Linked DNA regions of Caenorhabditis elegans. The protein of the gene in region 1 interacts with the protein of each later gene in a pairwise test. Each region holds a gene or a part of one and is shown in the gene's direction. Other genes may lie near its edges. The genes, in order: W05E10.2 and del-4.

What was found.
Region 2: the proteins of W05E10.2 (region 1) and del-4 interact in a two-hybrid assay, tested with the Caenorhabditis elegans proteins (one large-scale study listed by BioGRID).

The regions. Positions count from the first base shown.
Region 1 is NC_003283.11:11,685,351-11,689,939, forward strand, and holds W05E10.2 (uncharacterized protein), read left to right. Parts: upstream 1-1,826; 5' UTR 1,827-2,075; coding exon 2,076-2,109; intron 2,110-2,976; coding exon 2,977-3,136; intron 3,137-3,197; coding exon 3,198-3,306; intron 3,307-3,729; coding exon 3,730-3,813; 3' UTR 3,814-3,938; downstream 3,939-4,589. Other genes in the region: mfsd-8.2 (Major facilitator superfamily (MFS) profile domain-containing protein), read right to left, coding at 4,176-4,338, 4,474-4,589.
Region 2 is NC_003279.8:8,138,678-8,144,197, reverse strand, and holds del-4 (Amiloride-sensitive sodium channel), read left to right. Parts: upstream 1-1,660; coding exon 1,661-1,767; intron 1,768-1,810; coding exon 1,811-1,916; intron 1,917-2,120; coding exon 2,121-2,222; intron 2,223-2,365; coding exon 2,366-2,497; intron 2,498-2,762; coding exon 2,763-2,839; intron 2,840-3,302; coding exon 3,303-3,502; intron 3,503-3,549; coding exon 3,550-3,828; intron 3,829-3,899; coding exon 3,900-3,981; intron 3,982-4,058; coding exon 4,059-4,116; intron 4,117-4,163; coding exon 4,164-4,313; intron 4,314-4,356; coding exon 4,357-4,530; intron 4,531-4,576; coding exon 4,577-4,693; 3' UTR 4,694-4,730; downstream 4,731-5,520.

The DNA.
Region 1 (4,589 bases):
GAAGGAGTTCTCACGTAGTCTCAGAGGCATCTATAATTGAGAATTGTCAGATAAATTCGTGCATTCCTTTTTCAGGTAGCATTTGTTTTATATTACTGAAACACAAAGTTCTGAGATTGCGTATTGCGAAACGTATTTGCCGCGATAAATATCTCGTAGCGAAAACTACAATAATTCTTTAAGTGAATACTGTATTATAGAAAAAATACGATCGCACAAAAATAAACAACGACGCAACGACACTCCGCTATTTTTAAGCCCCGCCCACGATTTCATTTGCACTGAAATGTGGCGGCCGCAGTGCAAATGAAATCGTGGGCGGGGCTTAAAAATAGCGGAGTGTCGTTGCGTCGTTGTTTATTTTTGTGCGATCGTATTTTTTCTATAAAAGCTCATGTATAAGGTATCAATGTTCCAAATGAATTTAAATAATTTATATTTTTATATTTATTTATTTAATGAATATTAAAATTAAGCAAAACACTGAGAAAAGAATTCGAAAAACGAAGGAAACTTGAAAATCGCTGTCGATTTTCGAAAAGAAATTTAATTCGAAAACCGAGCCCGTAAATCTACACAACGCTACAGTAGTCATTTAAATAATTACTGTAGTTTTCGCTACGAGATATTCTGCGCGTCAAATATGTTGCGCAATACGCATACTCAGAATTATGTGATCCCGTAATATTAAGATTGACGAATAAAAATAATTCATGAATTCAATACATTTAAAAATAAGAAATGAGGGTGTGAAATCTATTTTTGATCTAATTCTGTTCCTACATTTCAATCATCAAAGAGTAATACGGAAACTGGTGAGACGACGGATAATGTGTTTCTCAGTCATTGGAAAGAGTATGCATAATTCAAAAACGGACGGCTTCTCTTCTATTCTGATTCTTCTTTCTGGATTCAAAAGGATGATGATGGGCCAAAGAAAAAGGAAGAAGCACTTCTCGTCAGACTGACTGCAATTTCATTTTTCAAAATATTTTTTTTCACTTTTCGATGGCTTCCTTCCGCATATCCCTGTTTTACGTTTTCCCTTGTTTTCAGTGGTGACTTTTATGAGGATTATTACTCTTTTTAAAATGAAAAAGAAGCCAAGTAAAACGTGTTTTAAAAAAAATTAATCATAGCGTACCGTTCTCTTGCTCCTGGATAATATTCTCGCGAAAAACATAGAGATTTTAGTATCAAAAACATATGAATTGTTGTAAAACGCACATTTCTTTTCAGATTGGTCTCGCCGCGGAAAAAATTGTAGGGAGCAGTTTTGTTTCAAGAAATAAAAATTGATAAACTGAACCTCTTTTCGAACTTAAAATATCGGGCCCTAAAAACACTTCTCGCGGCGAGACCCATCCAAATGAAATTGTAGTGTGGCGTTTGCTTTTCTTTCTTTTCTTTTTTCGGAATCAATGTCAAATTTCAAATTTAAAAAGAACACGTTCTTGAAAAAACTTCCCGTTTAAAGATTAGAAATAATAATTTTTCTAAAGCATATTTCCAAAGTATTTTATCTTTTGTAAATAGGTGCTAACTATTCCCAGGAAAGCTGGATTATCATTTTTTGCAGAAATCCACTCATGGACTTTTGAAGTAGGTGACGTTGAAACTACTATTTTTAGAGTTTTGTTCTCAAACATCTAGAGGAAGTGATGAAAGAGAAAGAAAAGAATTGAGAGCACAAATCGTGTGTGTTTCGAGCTCTCTTCTTACCATCAAATTGGGTTTATTCACAAAATTCAGTCATCTCTTCCTTCTTCTTCTCTGCCCCCGCCTACTTTTCACCCATTTATTCATTTTTTAGTTTAGATAAACTTTTGACATCAAATCTCCTTCATTTCCTATTTCATTCTGTTTCACGCGTTGACCAGAGCAACCATAGAAATTTCCAGAAAAATCCAGAAAAAAAAGAAGGAGGAGCCTTTTCGTAAAAAAAGTAAATTTTTTAGAATTCATGTCGAGCTTCTTATCGGCTTTATTTCGTGTGATCGGAAGAGGATAATACCAGATATTATTTCTAGTCTAACCTCTCTCAATTTTGACTATTTATTTAATAATTGCTGAATATGACTTCAACTTCTTCTGAGCTATTCAATACATGTAAGTTTTGTAACATTGTAAATTTGTATCTTTGTATTTTCAATTTTGTTTGGTAGATAATTATAATTTACTCGTTAGGAAACATATTGTGTTACATATATTTAACGTTTGAAGAAAGGGCACAAACCTTTTTCAAAATGTTTGATCAGATCTGGGCGTATTTTTTCTGGTTTCTGGCAATGCTGGCTAAAAGTAATTCACTTTTGAATCTATCACAATTATCACTTTCAAAATCCACTATTAATACACAACTTAGAAATATGTTTATCTGGATTAAAAAGCAATTGTAAAATTAGCATTGTGCCCCTTACAAAAATGAGATATTTTTGAAACCACGTTGGGCTTTTCATTCAATTAGTCAAGTATTCCATGTGACCTATTCTCAAGACATACGACAGATTGTAATCAATTGTACATTTTGTTTTTTTTTTCTTTTTAAATCCTCCTCCATTATCATAAAGTTCAGTTGAACCTCTAATATCTAGCGATGGTTAATGATAACTTTTTCCATAGTTCGGAAACATTCAATTTGATCAAATTTGATATCTGAAATTCATTTTTTTTTCAATTAATGTAAATTAGTATTTTGTTAAATTTTATGAAACTATTTGTTAAAAAGTGTTTTGTTGAAGAAAATCACTTTTAATGAAATTTTTTGTAAGTTTAATGAAAATAAAAAAAATAAAAAAATAACCGATACAGAGAATAAATATTTAATCTTGACATAATTTTAAACTGTTTCCTTCTACTCGTACATTGTTCAAATCTCAAAAAGTAGTATCAGGCACCATATTGTCTCACTCACATGTGATTGTTTTTACCAAAAGCGTGGGAAACCTCTCGTCTAGAATTCACAAGACATTTCAGCCTCCGCACTACCGAGACGTCGAGCCCACTACTCAGATCTTATTCATTCTCCACATATTTTTCGAGTCGCAGATTCAGAAGATACAAGAATGGAGAAAATAACAGAATTTGTACTAAATGGACAAGAAGAAGCATCCGATGATGATGCAAATGGTCAATTGTAAGTTGTTCAAAAATGGAAATGAAATATTAACAGCTTTTTAATTATTTAATTTTTGAAGAGATTGGATTCTGGCAGGGATAATATGCATTGTCTGTATTGCATTCTTGGTAATTGCAGTGAAAATTTGCTACAATTATTCAAAGAAATTTCCGGAATCTTCAGAAAAGGTGAGTCTCAATTTGCATTTTTAAATAAGTTGGATCATTTAAGATTTGATCGTTGTACTAAAATTGACTTTTTTATAAATTCAGCAAATTTTGAGCTGCAACGATTCTCCGTTGAGCTCATTCTTATAAAATATTAACTCGCAGGAACCACTAAACCAGGACCCACCCGTCCAACTCGGTATAATTCCTCAACTTCAGAATCAAGTTAATGAAACGTGACTTTTAGAAAATGTATCCGGAAGTGTTTTTAAGGTATCAAAGTTTTCGAGTTGAAAACATATTTATTTTGGTCTTCATCTATTCACATTTTCGATTCATAAAAAAATATCTTATAAAAAGAAGTTAACCACCCAACTTGTGAATATGGTTTAGATTTTCAACATTCCATTTAAACGTCCTAAAATAAAATGTATGTTTTTCCAGGAGCACGAGAGCATTGAAAATTTCAATAGACGAGCGATATCCACAAAAGGAACACGGGGCCACGTCAGATATTCGGTTGCTTAAAATTTTAATGTGATGGCAAAAGATTAACGTATAAATAATGTACATAATATTGAACTGTTGCTCTTTAAAAGATTTCCGATTGAACTTATTTTGCATTTAAGTATGAAGATTGAAGATTAACATCAAGAAATAGAAATACGTGTGTCATTTTTTGAGCAGAAGCCTTTGTTTAAATATATTAATGCCATTTGTATTGTTTATCAGATTTATAGTTTTGCACATTTGATCTCCACTGCTACAACAATTTCAACTCAAAACCGTATTTATTTGATGAAATATGGAATTGTCAGAAAACGTCACGTCAATGATGAGAAAATACCCGGAAAAAGTGATAATTGGAATTAAGGCATCATAGAATGTCATCACACTTTGTGATTATTGTTGTTACTAATACTTTCTTTCTTTTGTATTAATTCTAAAGGTATCATTTGCTTCCAGAAGATGCATGTTGATAAAGCTCCGATAATAAGAAATGTGAGCATTTCTACACTAACCCATGTGTAGCCAGATGAGTTGAAGAAGAAGCTGAAAGAACAAATTATATTCACTGATAAGGCAGAACCCTTGAAAAATTAGGTTGAAATGTTCTTTAGGGCCCCTCCCGCTATGGAAAACCTGTCTTGAAAAAACATTTATATACTGAAATTTCAAGAAACTCACGTTGTAACTAATGGAGCTGCACATCTTCCAACACTTCCAAAAAATGCAAAAACTCCTTGCATAGTTCCTTGTTGTCTTGGTCCAAGAACTTCTGAGAACAGTGTTCCTATTGAATT
Region 2 (5,520 bases), on another chromosome or scaffold:
GAAGTGGTGAAGTGCTTTCTAACATCACAGTTTGAGGAGCAAAGGCGCCAAGAAAAAAGAAAATTATTTCACCAATGAACACAGTATATGAGATCCATTCCAAATGTAGACATCATAAATCTCCACCCACACTACTTCCTTGTCAACATTTTTAACATTTCTTATTTTAGATCTTGTTTTCTGACTTTCTAGTAATAAATCTACACTTGAAGATTTCCAAGTACTACTTAAAAACGAACAACTTATGAAACAAAAAACCCTTTCTTATCTTCTAAATTAAAAAATCGAAAATTCAAGAAAGAATTATAAAAATGTATAATAACGAGATCACGAGCTTAGTCACAAGAGTTTTGGTTGAAACAGAAAGATTTAACAAAAAAAGCTGGCTATATACAATTCTGAAATGTAAGATATTACTGCTAGGACCTCGTAAATCATTAAATAATTATGCTCTATTCCGTGCTGCTCACGGAGCTCAAAATGCTCATATTTCCAGAATCTAAAATATCCTAATGAGAATTGAAGAAGGGAAGAAAGGGTTCCTCGTATCTCTAATTAGTGCTTGTTCAGGGAATACTTTGAATTGGGAATTTGATTTTTTAACTTGGCAGATAAATCATAAACTGATTTCTACTATGATAGGGAATTTGGAATGCTTTCAACTGTAAGTACCAAATTACACAAAATATTTGCTAGAATTGCCTTTAAATATTAGCTTTATCATATGATCGATGATTGAAAGATAGAAGGAAAAGAGAAGCCTTAAATGAAAAAGTCATAAATTAAATGTTGATATGTCATAGATCATATGATAAATATGTATGAGTTATGATATTTTGGACTTTCAAAATGATTAGTATTTGCTAGTTTGGCTTCTTGAAAATTGTTACGGTTGAAAATAAAAATAGAATTCTCACATCTCGAGAAACAGAACTGTTTGATCAGAAACGACAAATAAACATATATTAATTTTCCGGAGAATGGTTGAAATCTAGATAGTATCAGTTTTTTTCAAACGTACACTTTGTGAGTAGAAACTTAAAGAAAATAATCAAAACGTATGTAGTTCAATTAAAATGTTTTTGATATTATCAAATTATCTTCAAATCATTAATATAATTTTTAGATGGAACAAAGGCAAAATACCACCAGATGCGGTTTCTAATAATACTTAAATTTTTCACCGAAAATTGTATATGTTTTTGAAAACTTTCAGTCAAAGTTTTGGCAAATTGACAAATTTTTGACTCCTACAATGTTTAGATACAAATAGTGAAAACAAAATTAAAACATATTAAATTTGTTTTGATGAAAAAATTCTAACTGGAAAAAACTGAGTAAGTGCATAATAAAATTTATAAATGTATTTGAAAAGCTTCACTATTATATTTGGTCATTTTAGCACAACAGAAATGAACTCTAAAACTTTTCCTACCCATTGTCCATGTGACTTTAAACCGACGAATACAAAGTATTGTATTTCTCTAATGGGCAAAAATAGGAAATTGGGAATCTATTTGGAAAAGAAGATTTTTAAAACAAAATATCCTTGGGAACTTGATCACAGTTTAAAGATGGTGTGGCATTTTTCTACCTTAATTATGACGTGGAATGCCTTGTGACAAAGGTTGATTGGAAATAAATTAAAATAAAATTGCAGATGGGTGTATTTTGGACCGGCCTGAAGTATGTTTTCACGGATTTTTCGTGTTGGACATCAACTCATGGAGTTCCACATATTGGAATGGCAAATGCTCGATGGTTGAGGTAGACATGGAAATTAATGACCCAGAATGATAAATGATTTCAGAGCATTCTGGATACTTGTCGTCGTTGTTTCCATTGCACTTTTTATTTGGCAATTCATCACGTTGCTTACCAACTATTTATCATTCAGTGTGAATACGGAAACTACGGTTTGTTGTAAAGAAAACTTACAAAAACTATATATCTCTTGCGAACAGGGGATATTAAAATAGACATTCTACCAGGGCAAAGCGTAATTAGGTTTTTTCTAAATATTTTACTGATCTTGAAGTTTTTAAATTTGTAGAAAAAGTCATCTGAAAATCTCACGGAAACTGCTCCTGCATTCTCACACTTTACCCATAAATTTCCAGCTGCAATTTGCCGAACGGACATTTCCCACCGTCACGATTTGTCATTTAAATCCATGGAAACTATCAGAAACGAAAAGTGTGGACCCGGATATGAGTGCACTGGTAATCCAAAGTCTTTAATAACATTTTAAATGATTTTGAGGGACTGATTTTTGAAGTGAAAGTGATGGAGTTGTAGAAAACGCGTTAATTTGCATCTCTACGTCTTATATCCCTTACCTATCAGAAGAGCATCAGTTTTCCAGATCGACGCCTACAACTCTGATTCAAGCTCTGCTCAATTTGGACTCCCAGCTTCTTTGACAGCTGATAGGCAGCAACAAGCTAGTAAATGGACTCTCATGTATTCTGAAAGACTTAACGAAAAACAGTATAATGTAGGTCAAAGCTTGTTGAACATGTTTCAGAATTTCCGATGCTCAAAGAGCACCGGGAACTAAAATTTCGACCGATAAATCAAGTTTCTTCAAAAAAGCACATAAATGTTCGAAATTGAAATTGGGGGTTTATAATCATTTCGGAAAAGACATAAAATCCAAAAACTAGGAGAATATTTTATTGTTCTTGTGTGTGTTTTATGATCGATTGCTTTCTTTTTCTTTGAGATTTTGAAGATAAACCAAAGGAAGTGAGTAATTTCAGGATGCGGCAGACATTGCATATTCATATGATGACATGGTTGTTAGTTGCACGTATAATGCAAAAACATGCAACATTACGTACGTTTAAAGTTTGTGTTCGCAGTAATTCTTTACGTCTACCAATCTGCTTATTTTGATAAAATAGTGTAGCTTTATATAATGCAATTAAAACTTAACGTAGAAATTTAGAAAATATGTGGTTGATTTGAAAATAATGAGTATTATTATTGGAAAGTAGAAATGAACCTGTACTTATCTAAAGTTGTAATTTGTCAAACATAATTTTTAGAATCTCTTTCGCTTTTTTAAAAACTTTTTCAACAATAATAACAATTTTTTCAATTTATATCATCATTTATTGAGAAGAAAAAACCAATAAATATAATTAGACTCAATTCATTCAAATATTTTCAGTGATCATTTTAAATTAATTATTAATTGTAAAACTTTAATAATATGGGCAAATTTTCTATATATTTTTATATTTTCCGCGCACCCTTGTTTCAAACAAAATTCTGAAAGATAATTCTTAACTTTCCAGTGACTTTAACGATTTTTACAACCCGTCATACGGAAATTGTCTGCAATTTAACACTGATGGAATGTATTCTTCTTCCCGCGCGGGACCACTTTATGGTCTTCGTATGGTGATGAGAACAGATCAAGATACATATCTTCCATGGACTGAAGCTTCAGGCGTTATCATTGATATTCATATGCAGGATGAAATACCGTATCCTGGTGAACTGCCAAATTGCATTAGAAGTGTATTCTTGATCTTATTTCAGATGTATTCGGTTACTTTGCACCGCCGGGAACTGCTTCCTCTCTTGGTGTTAGTTATGTTCAAACTACTCGTCTTAGTAAACCTTACGGTAGCTGCACAACCAAAACAAAACTAAAAACTACTCATTATACTGGAACATACACTGTTGAAGCATGTTTTAGAAGTTGTATGCAGGAAAAGATTATTGCATCGTGTGGATGTTACTATCCTGCTTATTCCCATGCATCAAATACAACACAGTATGTATCATGTGATAACGGTGTACAGACACTTTCTAATTGTAAGTTTTATCTGCTCATTAACTGAAAAAAATCTGACCAATTTTCCTATTATATTATTTATATGTTTCAGTAAACTGTGTTGACTTGATCAATAGTGCCGATTCAACGGAATTCGATGTGCTCACCGATTGTGATTGCCCTCAACCTTGCGAGTAGGTTATGTTTCAAATATTTATTAAAACAGGCAGCAGTTGTAAATGAGTTGTCAAAATAATATTATTTGGTTCAGAATCGATTCATATGGTGTAACTGTATCCACTGCTCAATGGCCATCCGATTCATATGTGGTACGTGCTTTTATATTGAATATTTCTGTAAAAATTAATTTTTCTAGCCAACAGAATGCAATCCTGGTGGTCCATCTGGTCCGTGGGATGCTTCAGGAGAATCGTGTCTTGATTGGTATAAAGCAAACACCATTCTCATTGAAATATATTATGAACGAATGAACTTCCAAGTTCTTACAGAGTCACCAGCGTATACGGTAAGTTTAAAAATGGAACTCATAAAAATTGGAATATTTTCAGTTTGTAAACTTCATTTCTGATGTTGGCGGTCAAGTTGGTTTGTTCCTTGGAATGAGTATTATATCTGCAATCGAATATCTTGTTTTGATATTTCTTGTCTTTTTCTATTGTTGTACTCATAAATCTAGAAGAGCAGAAATTGAACAACTTGAAATGGACATCAAAAAGGCTAAGGTAGCACTTTAATAGTATTGCACCTTTACAAATTAATTATTTGAAGGATGATGTGGATCAAGTTGCAGAGAAGCGGAAGAAACATCAAAAAGCAAATGCAGAACTTTACGAAATGGATACAGCTCATGATATTGTTCCACCAAAGCCTCATTCTAATGATTGATATTCTGCCGATTTTGGGAAACGTTGAATAAAAGATTTATATTAAGACACAAAAATGCCTTCCAGGCAAACTTTTCTGAAATTTCGGAGCAGGGCAGGGGTAGGTCACGCCAAATGAGGCAGACAGGGGAAGGGTTTGGAAAGCTAGCACAGGAGTTTACATCAAACAGTGGAAGATTCGTAGAGGAATGGCGGCTTAAATTAAAATTTTGAAAAATATTCAATATGTTTTACAGGTATATTTTGGCACTTTTTTCCTGAAAGGTTATCCTCCTATTCATTTTAATATTAAAAAAGTCGAGTATTGAATCAAAAACTATTGAGGGAAATCCCACAAAAATCAATAATTTTATTTTATTTTGAAAAATAGTTTTTCTTGTAGTTTTATTTTTCATTAACAACGAAAATTGATTTAAAAAAATAATATTGTTAAATAAAAATTACTTATCTCCCATCATCTGATTAGAAAACGTACACCTCACTTAAAAGTTATTTTTCCCAATATCCAAGTAAGCCCTATTATTCTCTAATCCAATTCTTAATCCATCCAAAATTTAGTGTAATGCTGGCAACTGTTTCATAATCTAAATATTTAGATTACCACCCTGTTACTATAATTGTCACGTCACCACCGTTCAATCCATCTAATCCATCCCGACCGCCAGTAATCCAAATGGTGGGTCGGCAGAGAGGTGTTCAAAAGATTGCATGACGTCACTGACCCGAAAGGGGGTCAAGAGCAGTGTTGTTAGCACCTTTATTTTCCGAGCAGTCTTTCAATGAAAAAAGATGGAGACAGACAGAAGGAGAATAAGATTGCAAACAAAA